Linked DNA regions of Macaca fascicularis. The protein of the gene in region 1 interacts with the protein of each later gene in a biochemical or structural test. Links are inferred from orthologs where the notes say so. Each region holds a gene or a part of one and is shown on either strand. Other genes may lie near its edges. The genes, in order: REPS2, EPN1 and GRB2.

Evidence for each region.
Region 2: the proteins of REPS2 (region 1) and EPN1 form a complex in vitro, tested with the Homo sapiens proteins (3 studies listed by BioGRID and IntAct, with this or other methods). The link is inferred for Macaca fascicularis from reciprocal best matches to the Homo sapiens genes REPS2 and EPN1.
Region 3: the proteins of REPS2 (region 1) and GRB2 form a complex in vitro, tested with the Homo sapiens proteins (2 studies listed by BioGRID and IntAct, with this or other methods). The link is inferred for Macaca fascicularis from reciprocal best matches to the Homo sapiens genes REPS2 and GRB2.

What each region holds. Positions count from the first base shown.
Region 1 is NC_088395.1:16,755,929-16,760,230, forward strand, and holds the start of REPS2 (ralBP1-associated Eps domain-containing protein 2), read left to right. Parts: upstream 1-1,494; 5' UTR 1,495-1,608; coding exon 1,609-1,857; intron 1,858-4,302. UniProt on the Homo sapiens protein: Involved in ligand-dependent receptor mediated endocytosis of the EGF and insulin receptors as part of the Ral signaling pathway. By controlling growth factor receptors endocytosis may regulate cell survival.
Region 2 is NC_088393.1:63,633,585-63,637,228, forward strand, and holds part of EPN1 (epsin-1), read left to right. Parts: intron 1-374; 5' UTR 375-496; coding exon 497-724; intron 725-3,644. UniProt on the Homo sapiens protein: Binds to membranes enriched in phosphatidylinositol 4,5-bisphosphate (PtdIns(4,5)P2). Modifies membrane curvature and facilitates the formation of clathrin-coated invaginations. Regulates receptor-mediated endocytosis.
Region 3 is NC_088390.1:81,722,633-81,726,276, forward strand, and holds part of GRB2 (growth factor receptor-bound protein 2), read right to left. Parts: intron 2,833-3,644; coding exon 2,664-2,832; intron 1,561-2,663; coding exon 1,375-1,560; 3' UTR 1-1,374. UniProt on the Homo sapiens protein: Non-enzymatic adapter protein that plays a pivotal role in precisely regulated signaling cascades from cell surface receptors to cellular responses, including signaling transduction and gene expression.

The DNA.
Region 1 (4,302 bases):
TCACCACCATGGCCCAGCTAGTTTTTGTATTTTTAGTAGAGGTGAGATTCCACCATGTTGGCCAGGCTGATCTCGAACTCCTGGACTCAGGTGATCTGCCTGCCTTGGCCTTCCAAAGTGCTGGGATTACGGGCATGAGCCACCGCACCCGGCCTGGACTTTCTTTTAAAAGTGGCTAGAGGGCTCAAGTGGCTCAAGCCTGTAATCCCAGCACTTTGGGAGGCCGAGGTGGGGGGTGTGTGGATCACCTGAGGTCAGGAGTTCGAGACCAGCCTAACAAACATGGTGAAACCCCGTCTCTACTAAAAATACAAAAACTAGCCAGTCATGGTGGCAGGCACCTGTAATTCCAGCTACTCGGGAGGCTGAGACAGAATAATTGCTTGAACCCGGGAGGTGGAGGTTGCAGTGAGCCAAGACTGTGCCATTGAACTATAGCCTGGGCAACAAGACTGAAACTCCATCTCAAAAAAAAAAAAAAAAAAGGCTAGAGTACTAGCCAGGGGGAAGCAAGCACATTTGAAAAATACAGTGTGTATGCTTTAGGATAGGGAGGAATGGAGAGAGAGGAGGACATGGACAGGGATGGAAAGATGTGGGTTCTCGCATTGATTTTTGGCGTGAGCTTGAAAAAGTTTTGTACTTAAAAAAAAATTCCTGTTTTACTACCAAAATAAGTGCTTCCTGTGGAGAGTGAGGATCCTCTGTTACTGAGGTTTGTATTTTCAGGCCCTAGCATATAAATCTGCTACATACGAGATATTCAACTAGTTTTGAAGGAATGAAGGTGAACATGGCAGTTTCCTCATATGTAAAAGCAGGATTTGGACAAAATGATCTGCAAAATGGGTCTTTTACTACTCTAGTATTTACGAGTAACCGATGTTATTCCTTATGAAGTCTCAACTCCTGGTTTGAGCCATGTCTGAAGAGGTGGCCTAACTCCAATACCCACTGAACAGTTTGGCGTCAGTGGGACCCTGTTTGTACAGACGTCTGTGTCTTCCAGCTGTTTAGGACATAAGCACTACTGCTATGGAAGAAAGGAAACCTAATTTCCCATGCCTTGTCCGTTTTCTGGAAAGGGCATGGCGTGGTGTGGGCACCACACTTGCCCCAGCCTTCTGGCGAAAAAACACCACGACCTTCCCCGCTCCCCGAAAAGAGCTTTTCTCCAGTTGGGTCTAGATGCGCCCTTCCCAACCAGGGCGGATGGCCAAAGACTCCGCTCCCTTGCAGGGTAGGCTTGGAAAGGCACGGGGCTCGCCTTCCTGGGCAGCGGAGCAGGTGACGCGCGGAGGGCAGGCAGCGCGCTGGGTTAGTTACCTGGCGCTGGGCGGGGCAGGCGGGAGGCGGGGGCGGGGCCGCGGTGAGATATCAGGCTGTGATTGGGCCGCTCCGCGCCTGTCTCCATGTGCCGCGCAGCTGAGGCACAACATTCAAGCCCGGGGGCGGGGCCGGCGCGCGCCGGGAGGAAGCGGCCGCGCGGCAGCTGCGGGGCGTGGGGGTGGCGGCGGCGTCGGCTGAGGCCGAGGAGCCGGTGGCTGTGGCGGACGCAGCGGCACCCCAGCTAGGGACAGGGCTCCGCCGCGCCCCCTTGCTGGTCCCATGGAGGCGGCAGCGGCGGCGGCGGCGGGTGGGGGCTGTGGCTCCGGGCCGCCACCGCTGCTGCTGAGCGAGGGCGAGCAGCAGTGCTACTCCGAGCTCTTCGCGCGCTGTGCCGGCGCCGCGGGCGGGGGCCCCGGGTCTGGGCCTCCCGAGGCCGCCAGAGTCGCCCCCGGCACGGCCACTGCAGCCGCCGGCCCAGTGGCTGACCTGTTTCGGGCGTCGCAGCTGCCAGCCGAGACGCTGCACCAGGTGGGTCCCTCCGCCTCTTGTCCCTGCGGGTCTGTGGGGCAGTGTCTGCGGGGGCGGAGGTTGCGAGTGGGGCGACAGGGCTGCCCCCAGGGACCCGGAGGCCTCGGCCAGTTGTCAGAGAACTCTGCAGCCGGGGATAGCGGCGACGCCCTTGTACCCGGGGGACACCAGCCTCCTCCGCAGCTCAGCTCCTCGCCCAGTCAGTGCTGGGTGCGCGCTCCCCATCTTCCTTCCCTGAGACTGTCTGACATTCCCTCCCCTCCCCCGGCCATTTCTGGGGTTCTGCAGCCGCCCAGACCCAAAGTTTGCCCTGTTCTGGAAGTGGTGTTTGTTTTGGCTGCTGCCTGGTTTAACCTCTGCTCGCTGCTCCTGCCCCTCCCTCTCCTGAGTGGGCTGTCAGGGTGCCTTGCTGGGATTTGAACCTGAGGGGTGTGTGTGTCTGTAGGGTTGGAGGCCCAGGGCTGAATGTTGTCCTCTGTATGTAGTTGTGATATATACGTATCTACAATATGTAATTGCCCATAACATATTTCTAAATATTAATATTAAATCAAAAACCTTAATGACAAGTTGCAGAACAGGGACACGGGACTGCAAGAGGACGTTTGTCAAGTCAAAACCAAATTTCCCATTTGAGGCTAGAGGTGGACTTCAGAAGTCCACCATGGGAAACAGCTGTAGTTTCCCATCTATCATTACTTGGACTTGAAATAGAATTGAAAGGTAAGGGGTGTCATAGCTACCACCTTTTGACTGTTCTATACTTGGAAAAGGACTAGGGGATGATACATACCAGACGCTGTGTTTGTTTTGTGCTTTCCTTGGAGCTTGGAGAAAGACTAATTGATAAGCCTTTGTCTGTCATTTCATGTCACCAGCACTTCATGGTGATAAGATTGTTAATATCAGGTTCAAAACGTCAAATGAAGCTTTCCTTAAAAGCAATAGTATGAATGTTATTAACACCAATGGAATATTTAGAGTGGTGAGTGGTATTTTAAAATCTAGTTTCAAAGGAGAACTGAGGGTTTTATGGTTCACTTGCAATGTCATTGTGTTCATACGTATTTTTAAAGAAATTACTTAAGACTGCGTTTTATATTGCTAGAGTGTTTGTACTGCCCTGTGTTTGTGAGCGTAACTTTAAACACTTTGTAATCTTTCACCCTTTTGAATTTGGGATTTCTGAAAATATAATTAGTATTCACAGAACTTAGCATGGCTGTTTGTCCCTAAAAAAGTCCTTGATATACAGACAGTTCTGCCATTGCTGACGAGTAGTTGAGCTGGATCAGGTAAAGAGAAAATCAGTGTCTTAAAACACAAACCATGACTATTACTTGAGGCCCTCAGAATACTCCCGAGCATAACACATTTATTCAATGCTGTAACTGCTTCCCAGCTGAAAGAGGAATAATTGACTGAGGCTATGCAGCAAGTAAGTGACAGCTGGGTACCTATTAAGGCTTATTTTGTTGTCAGTAATGCATCGGATAAGAGGAGGTGGGCATAGTAAATCTGAATATGTTGGTCGATGCCTCCTTAGGAACTGGGAAGAAGGATTTCCTGATGTTAGAACCCATGCTTTCTTGAGGTACATATGGTTTTAAAAGGACCCAAGGCACAGTGCCTGTGCGTGAATGAGATTATATTTTTGATGTCCAGTTGAAATCTGCTTGCAAAAGACTGCTTCAGATACTGGCCAAAGGGGACATCCCTACAGTATTGCTTGGAGTAAATCTCTCAGAGCTTGAAGCTCCCTTATTCAGCCTAGCAAAGCAAAACACATCATCCCCCTTCAATCCAACAAAATTACCATAACTCATTATTCTTGGTACAGGTGAAAATGAACACTGAAGGCATCCCGGACATGTAATCCTAAGAGAGTCAAACAAAGTCAGCAACCAGCAGACCCCTAATTTTCACCCATCACTTTGGTGGTGGTGGTGGTGTGTGTATGCTCCATCCACTTTAATTTGTATTACCCCATCGGTGTATTAGCCATTCTTTAAAACAAACATAGATGTTTTTATCCTTTCCCTGTTAAACAGGAACCTGTAAGTTGAGATTTAAGTGCCCCGACAGGTATAACTGCTCAAATCTTGGAGGCACTAACCAGCCCTGGTATTTTCTATGGTAACAACCAGGTTTTCCTCTTAATAAGCGTACAATTAAGATTACCATAATAATGTTCCAGGAAGAATGAGAATCTTGCAGTCTTACCACAAGTAAATGGTCTATAAAAATATTTATTTATTATTTATTTATTTTTTGAGATGGAGTCTCATTCTTTTGCCCAGGCTGGAGTGCGGTGATGTGATCTCAGCTCACTGCAACCTCCGCCTCCCCGGTTCAAGCGATTCTTCTGCCTCAGCCTCCCGAGTAGCTGGGACTACAGGCGCATGCCACCACGCCTGGCTAATTTTTACATTTTTGGTAGAGACA
Region 2 (3,644 bases), on another chromosome or scaffold:
TGGGCAGGATGGAGTGCCTGCGGATGTGCTACCAGTGTTTACAGGGCGTCAGTTCCCTAGATGACTGCATGGAGCCCCATTTGACGGAAGAGAAAGCAAAGCTGAGGTGCAGGAGATGGCAGCCCACCCACTGTGGCCTGGCCAGGAACTAGCTGAGCCAGGGTGTGGGGCTGCGATGTGCCACTGCATATACTCTGCCTCACTGAGCAGGGGCCCCAGCAGGAAGGAGGCAGCCTGTTTGAGGAACTGAAACATGGATGGGGTTACTTTGAGACCTAGAGGTTAACAAGGGACAGAGCCTTCTGGGCCACAGTTAGGAACTCATCTTTGACCCTGAGGGCTCTGGGCAACCCATGTCCCACTTGTGTTTCCAGAGGTCCTGTTCCCTTCTCAGATGCGGTGACCTGCCAGCGCCTGCTGCAGCCTTCGTCCAGGAGTCACCCCGTCTCTCCACGCATCAGGGGCCCTGTGCCCCTTGCTGCTGCAGCCGGGCACCATGTCGACCTCGTCCTTGAGGCGCCAGATGAAGAACATTGTCCACAACTACTCAGAGGCGGAGATCAAGGTTCGAGAGGCCACGAGCAATGACCCCTGGGGTCCGTCCAGCTCCCTCATGTCAGAGATTGCTGACCTCACCTACAACGTCGTCGCCTTCTCGGAGATCATGAGCATGATCTGGAAGCGGCTCAATGACCATGGCAAGAACTGGCGGCACGTCTACAAGGTCAGCGTCCCGCTCTCCTCCCCAGGCAGGTGCAGGGGCTCAGGCGGGAGGGCAGGAGCCCGTGTTGTGCACCCTGCCTGGGATGGCATCCCGGTTCTCAAGAGGAGCTGTAGAAGAGTAAAATCTCTCTTTTTGTTTAATGAAGGCAACGAATGTAAGGCTAAGAAGTTTGGAGCCTAGTGGTTAAAATCTGTTTTTTGAGTGAGTGGTGCATTCGTAAGATTCATATGCTCAGGAGGCCCGAAAGGGCCCACAGTGCCCATCTCTTCTGTGTGCCCAGATACCCAGTTCCTTTCCTCACAGCAGCCAAGTTTCTGCTCTGGGCCCCGTCTGTGAACGCCCCTCAGGCAGGTGTGTGCTCCCCGTGGCACAGGCGATGCCACGCTGGGGATGAACACTGGAACAGTGTCGTGTTCTCACACTGCTTGTCAGACTCAAAAGCCTGCATACTGTTTGCTGGCATCAGTCCGACAGTGGGAGAGACGGGACCATAGGGATGGAATGCAGAGGGCAGGTTGGTGCTCGCCGGGAGTTGGACGGGAGGGGTCACCTACAGAGGGCAGCACAAGGACATTTCGGGGGCAGCGGGACTGTTCTGTGCCTTGAGTGCCGTGGTGGCTTCATGTCCTGTGCATTTGTCAGAACTCAGACTGATGTTAAAATGAGCGAGTCTTACCATATGTATATTAGACCCCAATTTAAAAAAGGAAAAGGAGATTTTATCTTTACATTGCCTATCGGGATGTAAAAGATTTGCTGCTTTTTTTTTTCTTTTACAACTGCAGAACTTTCAACTCTATGGATTGGTCATAATTTATTTAACTAGTGACTTGTTGATGGATTTTTTTGAAAAGGGTTTTGCAGTGTTTTAAGAATGAGATTGCCGTGAATATCCTTGTACCTTTGCTGTTTTCTAGAACTGGAGTTGCCGAGTCAAGAGGCTCGTGCATGTGTAATTTTGGCAAATGTGGCCAAAGTGCCCTCCATGGATGTGGCCTAGTTGCTGGCCCTGATCCACTGACCACACACGCAGATCGCAGGTTTTGGGTCAAAGGGCTCGCACCTGTGAGCAGGACTCAGCGAGTGGGTTTTCAGTTTGCTGTTCGTGGGGTCCAGGGGCCTTAGCATCCCCACCTTTGGTCTTTGGTTACTGTGTTCCTCGTGTTACGGCAAAGCGGCCAAGGACGTGGGCTGGGCCGGGTTACTCTCCCGGTGGTGGGATCTCGGGCTCATCCCTGAATCTCCCTCTGTGAGGGCCCATGGAGTTGATTCACGTCTGACTCGGGTTAGGGGCTGGTGAATGTTAGACAGCTGCTGTTGCGGTCCATTGGCAAGCATCTGCAGAGGGCCCGCTCTGGGTGTCTTGGTGCACCAGACCTGCAAGCCTCCACCCTCGTGCACTTAAACCTGGGCCTTTTCTGGGCGAGGTCCCTGTCCTTGCTGATTTTGGAGACTTCTGCCCAGGTGAGGGCAGTTCCCTCCACTCACAGATGAGGCTGAGGCTGGGAGCGCTGCACCACTTCCACGTGGGAGCAGGGGCTGAGGCCTATTTCCTGTGACTGGTTTTCATGCCCAGCCCGACACACCAAGATTGGGTTGAGTCATAGGTTGAATCAGTTATTGGTCATTTATTGTGAAGGGCTGGGAGGCGTTTGTTTAGTTGAGGATCTTGGAAAAGCCTGGGGGTGCAGGGGAGCCTCTGTGGAGGCAAGGAGGAGGGGCGGGGCTGGAGGGGCAGGTGGGGCTGGAGGGGTGGGTGTGCAGAGGTGATGAATCCAGAGGGGCCCTAGACGCGGATCCTTCCTGGCTAGTGGCCAGAGTGATGCTGCTGGGGGCAGAGACAGAGTGGCCTGTGGGCAGGGCTGGCAGGTGCCAAGGCCTGAGAGTCTGCTAGGGAGCATGCGGTGCTGGTGGCCGGGGTGGACGGCAGGGCAGGGCAGGAGAGGGATATGGCCTTCAGTGCCAGGCCGGGGCTTGGGGTGCTTCCTACAGGAGGTGGGAGAGCCTCCATGGAGAAGCAACTTGATTGTTTTTGTGCATGCCGCACTTTTGTCCTGAGGTTGGTTACCTGTGGGCAGCCTCTTGCTGGACGGTGCTGGGGACCCAGCCCTGATCAAACCCGACCCCCACCCTCAGGCAGCTCCCAGGTCGGTGGGAGTTGAGCCGATAGGCTGGCGGGTGCCATGAAGGAGGGAACACAGCACAAGGCTCTGCGGGCCTCAGGCAGTCAGGGCAGACTTCCTGGAGGAGGCAGCCAGCCAGTCACAGGTCTTACCCAGCCTTTCTTGCCTGGTTCTTTCTAATAACTTTGTAAAGGTGGGTTTACTGAGGTATAATTTGCACACAGTAAAACCCAGCCTTTCAAGATAGAGTTTTCTGGGTTCTGACAGATGCACGTGTTTCATAACTGTCATCACAGCCAAGGCATAGGTTTTTGTCACCCTCAAGACCTCCCCTGTGGTTTTCGTAGCCCCTCTGACACCCTCCCCAGGCCTGGCTGTTCTTGCTGTGTTCACCATCCTCACAGCATCTCTTGATTCTTGAGACTGTCCTTTCTATGCTCCCCACAGCAGAGTCTGGGCGCCGGCCTTTCTCTTTGAGCTTGGGGATCCCCAGCCCATGTGGCTGAGGACGTGGGGTTCCTGCTCCACCCTGAACTGCTGATTCCTCACACTGAGGGTGGGGTTCAGCCTCAGTACCCCCGGGGAGGGTTGATGGTGTCTGTGGAAACCTGCTTTGGTTGCCGCTTGTGCTGCCTGCTGGACGCTGTCCTGAGAGCAGCTTTGTGAGGTCAGCACGTGTCACTGTTGTCCCTGCTGTGGCATGTGCTGATAGCTGAGCATAGGCACAGGGCAGGGGTCCAGGAGGGGTCCCTGCGTCCACGTCTAGCCAGCGCCTCCCCTCTTGGATGACCACTTCT
Region 3 (3,644 bases), on another chromosome or scaffold:
TAAGCCAGATCCAGTGGGATGTGGGAGAGCTGGGTGGTCACCTTCCCTCTTGCCCCGGTGGCCCGTCACACTCACACTGCAACCTGGACAAGCAGTTCCCTGAACCCCCAAGGGGCTCACACACCTTAAAGCTGGAGCTTAAAGCCTCCTGGCTTAGTACAAGCAGGAGAATGCTTCACCTTGTACTCCTGCTTGTCTCCCTTGCTCTACCCTGCCCCAAGGGAAAAATATTTACACAGAGTAGGAGACAAATTGGCTGAAAAGCTCTGGACTGTCTTTAACTTATTTTAAAACAAAACAAATTAAAAACAAAAACAAAAACAAAAAACACCACCACTCAGAAGCAACCCTCGAAATAAGGAAAAAGGCACTATGAAAAAACAACATGCTCGATAATCCCACTGGAAGGGCCAACAAAGTGGAAAGAGACAGGCTGTTGGGAGGGCTTTTTTTTTTTTTTTTTGAGATGGAGCCTCGCTCTGTCACCCAGGCTGGAGTACAATGGCATGGTCTCGGCTCACTGCAACCTCCACCTCCCAGGTTCAAGTGATTCTCCTGCCTCAGGCTCCCGAGTAGCTGGGATTACAGGCGCATGCCACCACACCCAGCTAATTTTTGTATTTTTAGTACAGACAGGGTTTTGCCATGTTGGCTAGGTTGGTCTCGAACTCCTGACTTTGTGATCCACCCACCTTGGCCTCCCAAAGTGCTGGGATTACAGGCGTGAGCCACCACGCTGCCCGGCCCAGGCAGGCTTTCTAGGGAAGCCATGGAGGCAGCGACATGCTTTCCTTCTACCCCACTCTACTGCCAACTTGGACAAAATACACTGGGGGTCTGGGCTGGAAGGCAGATTCCTACAAGCCCCCTCCTCTGGAGGAAGTTAAACAGCAAAGGTGTCGAGCTGCCCTGCCCGCTCCTTTTTGTGTGTATATACGAAGAACACAGAAAGAGTGGTTCTTCTTTCAGTCATTCCAACTAAAACAGACATTTTGCATAGAGAGAATACCAGCCCACTTGGTTTCTTGTCTTTTATTATTGGCGTCAGCTAGGACTATACGTGGCCTTAAACGTCATGCACTGATGGACAGAAGAGAAAAAAGGATGAAAAAAAGGGCAAAGGAGGGGAAAGAGGAGCAGCAGTGAAAATTTGTAATAAAAACTCTTCTTAATTTATAGGTAAGTTTTGGCATTTTTAAATCCAACACCCCCTCCCACCCCCTAAAGTTCCAACCAAAGTGAGAGGGTCACAGGGTGACCCGGCCAGGTGTTCTGCACTCCCTCACAGGCTGCTGTTAGTGGCAGCTTGTGGGTTTAATTCTTTTGTATGTGTTTTACATTTTTCACTTTCTTTAAATAATTGCTTCTTGATTCTTAGACGTTCCGGTTCACGGGGGTGACGTAATTGCGGGGAAACATGCCGGTCTGCCCGTGGCAAGCTCCTTTCCACCAGTTGGGGTCTGAGTTATCCATGACATGGATAAAATCTCCCCGGCGGAAGCCCAGCTCTCCATCCTCCTGAGGATCAAAGTCAAAGAGGGCCTGGACGTATGTCGGCTGCTGCAAAACAGGAGCAGGAAAAACCCATATTGCATTCCTGGTCTGTGGCCGGCCACCTCCGAGGCCAGACGGGTTCCAGGGGGAAACGAATGCGTGCCAAATTCTCCATGTTTTCTAAACTCACCTCCCATCTCCCAACCCCCCATTTATTCTTACCTCTTCTAAGTTTACAGGCCAAGCGGGTTTAGTGTGATCTTTCCCAGTGCTCAGAAAATGCTAGAGTATGTCTCCCAGAGGAGGGTGGCCAACTGTGCCATATTATCAAGTAGAGGGCAGGCAGTGCTTGGAGGGGAAAGTTCTTCAGAAACAGCCGTCTGTGTTTAGGCTGTGGGCCCAGAATCTGCAAATCCCTTCTACCACACCCTTAAGATATTAGAGCCTAAAATTCTGGAGCTCGCATAACATAAGGGACTCTAACTGTAACTTATGACCAGGGCTCGAGGGACAGGAACGGTGCCGACCTCACTCCCTCACAAGCATAGTTTTCCTCATAATTTGCCTCCAGGGACAGGATCTTTGGGTGGGTGTGTTAAAGACCATCTCCCTAGAGAGACTGGCAAGCTGGCTACACACTGCCTCTGGAAAAGCAAAAATCCTATATTTAAAACAACAAATCTTTCTTTTTCTTTTTCTTTTTTTTTTTGAGATGGAGTCTCCCTCTGTCACCCAGGTTGGAGTGCGGTGGTACAATCTCAGCTCACTGTGACCTCCACCTCCTGGGTTCAAGCGATTTTTCCATCTCAGCTTCCCAAGCGCAGGTGGGCGCCACCACATCTGGCTAATTTCTGTATTTTTAGTAGAGACAGGGTTTCACCATGTTGGCCAGGCTGGTCTCAAGCTCCTGACCTCAAGTGATCTGCCTGCCTCAGCCTCCCAAAGTGCTGGGATTACTGGCATGAGCTACTACGCTGGGCCAGAAACAAGAAATTTTTAGTGTGAATGGAAGGTAACGTGTTCAGTAACGAGCACAGAAGCCCCAGTGGCAATCCCTGAAGGGCGCCTGCATGTTGATTGAGGGTCACCTCCCCCTTCCCACAGGAATGCACACTGAGGAGCTATTCTTAATTTCTAAAATGATCCCATCTCACCCTGATGAGGCTTACCTGTGGCACCTGTTCTATGTCCCGCAGGAATATCTGCTGGTTTCTGGAGACAGATGTAGATCTGTGATAATCCACCAGCTCATTCAAAGAATTGAACTTCACCACCCAGAGGAAGTACTTGCCGGCTCCGTCTCGGAGCACCTTGAAGTGCTGCACATCGTTTCCAAACCTGGGAGGGACAGAGAGCACATGGACCGGCTAAAGGCTCTAACCTGGCAAATCGAAGGCTATCTGCCCATATAAGCGATATCCTGAGAGAACCACTGTCCCGGCAGCACTCCTCAGGGACTGCAGAGTAACAAGCTTCCTCACTGCGTGTCCCTGGAACAGACCCCTCCCTATGACTGATGGGCACCAGGACAACATGAAGAAACCAAACAGGGACAGGCCATCAGTCACTCTCATTCTGAAGATGTTTGTAAGATAAAGAGTCCAGGCTGGGCACGGTGGCTCACACCTGTAATCCCAACACTTTGGAGGCCAAGGCGGGCAGATCACTTGAGGTTGGGATTTCGAGACCAGCCTGATCAACATGGAGAAACCCCATCTCTACTAAAAATACAAAAGTAGCTGGGCGTGGTGGTGCATGCCTGTAATCCCGGCTACTCGGGACACCAAGGCAGGAGAATCACTTGAACCCAGGAGGCGGAGGTTGCAGTGAGCTGAGATTGCGCCACTGCACTCCAGCCTGGGTAACAAGAGTGAAACTCTGTCTCAAAAAAAAAGAAAAAAACAGTCCATGTGCCCTGAACCCTAACAAATAAAACAGCCTTACTTAAGACAAAGAAGTGTGACTTAACTTCCTTTGAATAAAAAAATAATTAAAATGTTATATGCAGGAAGAAGGTGAGGAGGGCTGGAAATACTTTCAACAATTCTCTCGTAACTGCGAATAGTTCCAAGTCATGTTTTCCATTCAGGAATTTTAGATCCACTCACGGGGAAAAGGTCTCTGAATGAAAGGACACACTGGCACAATAA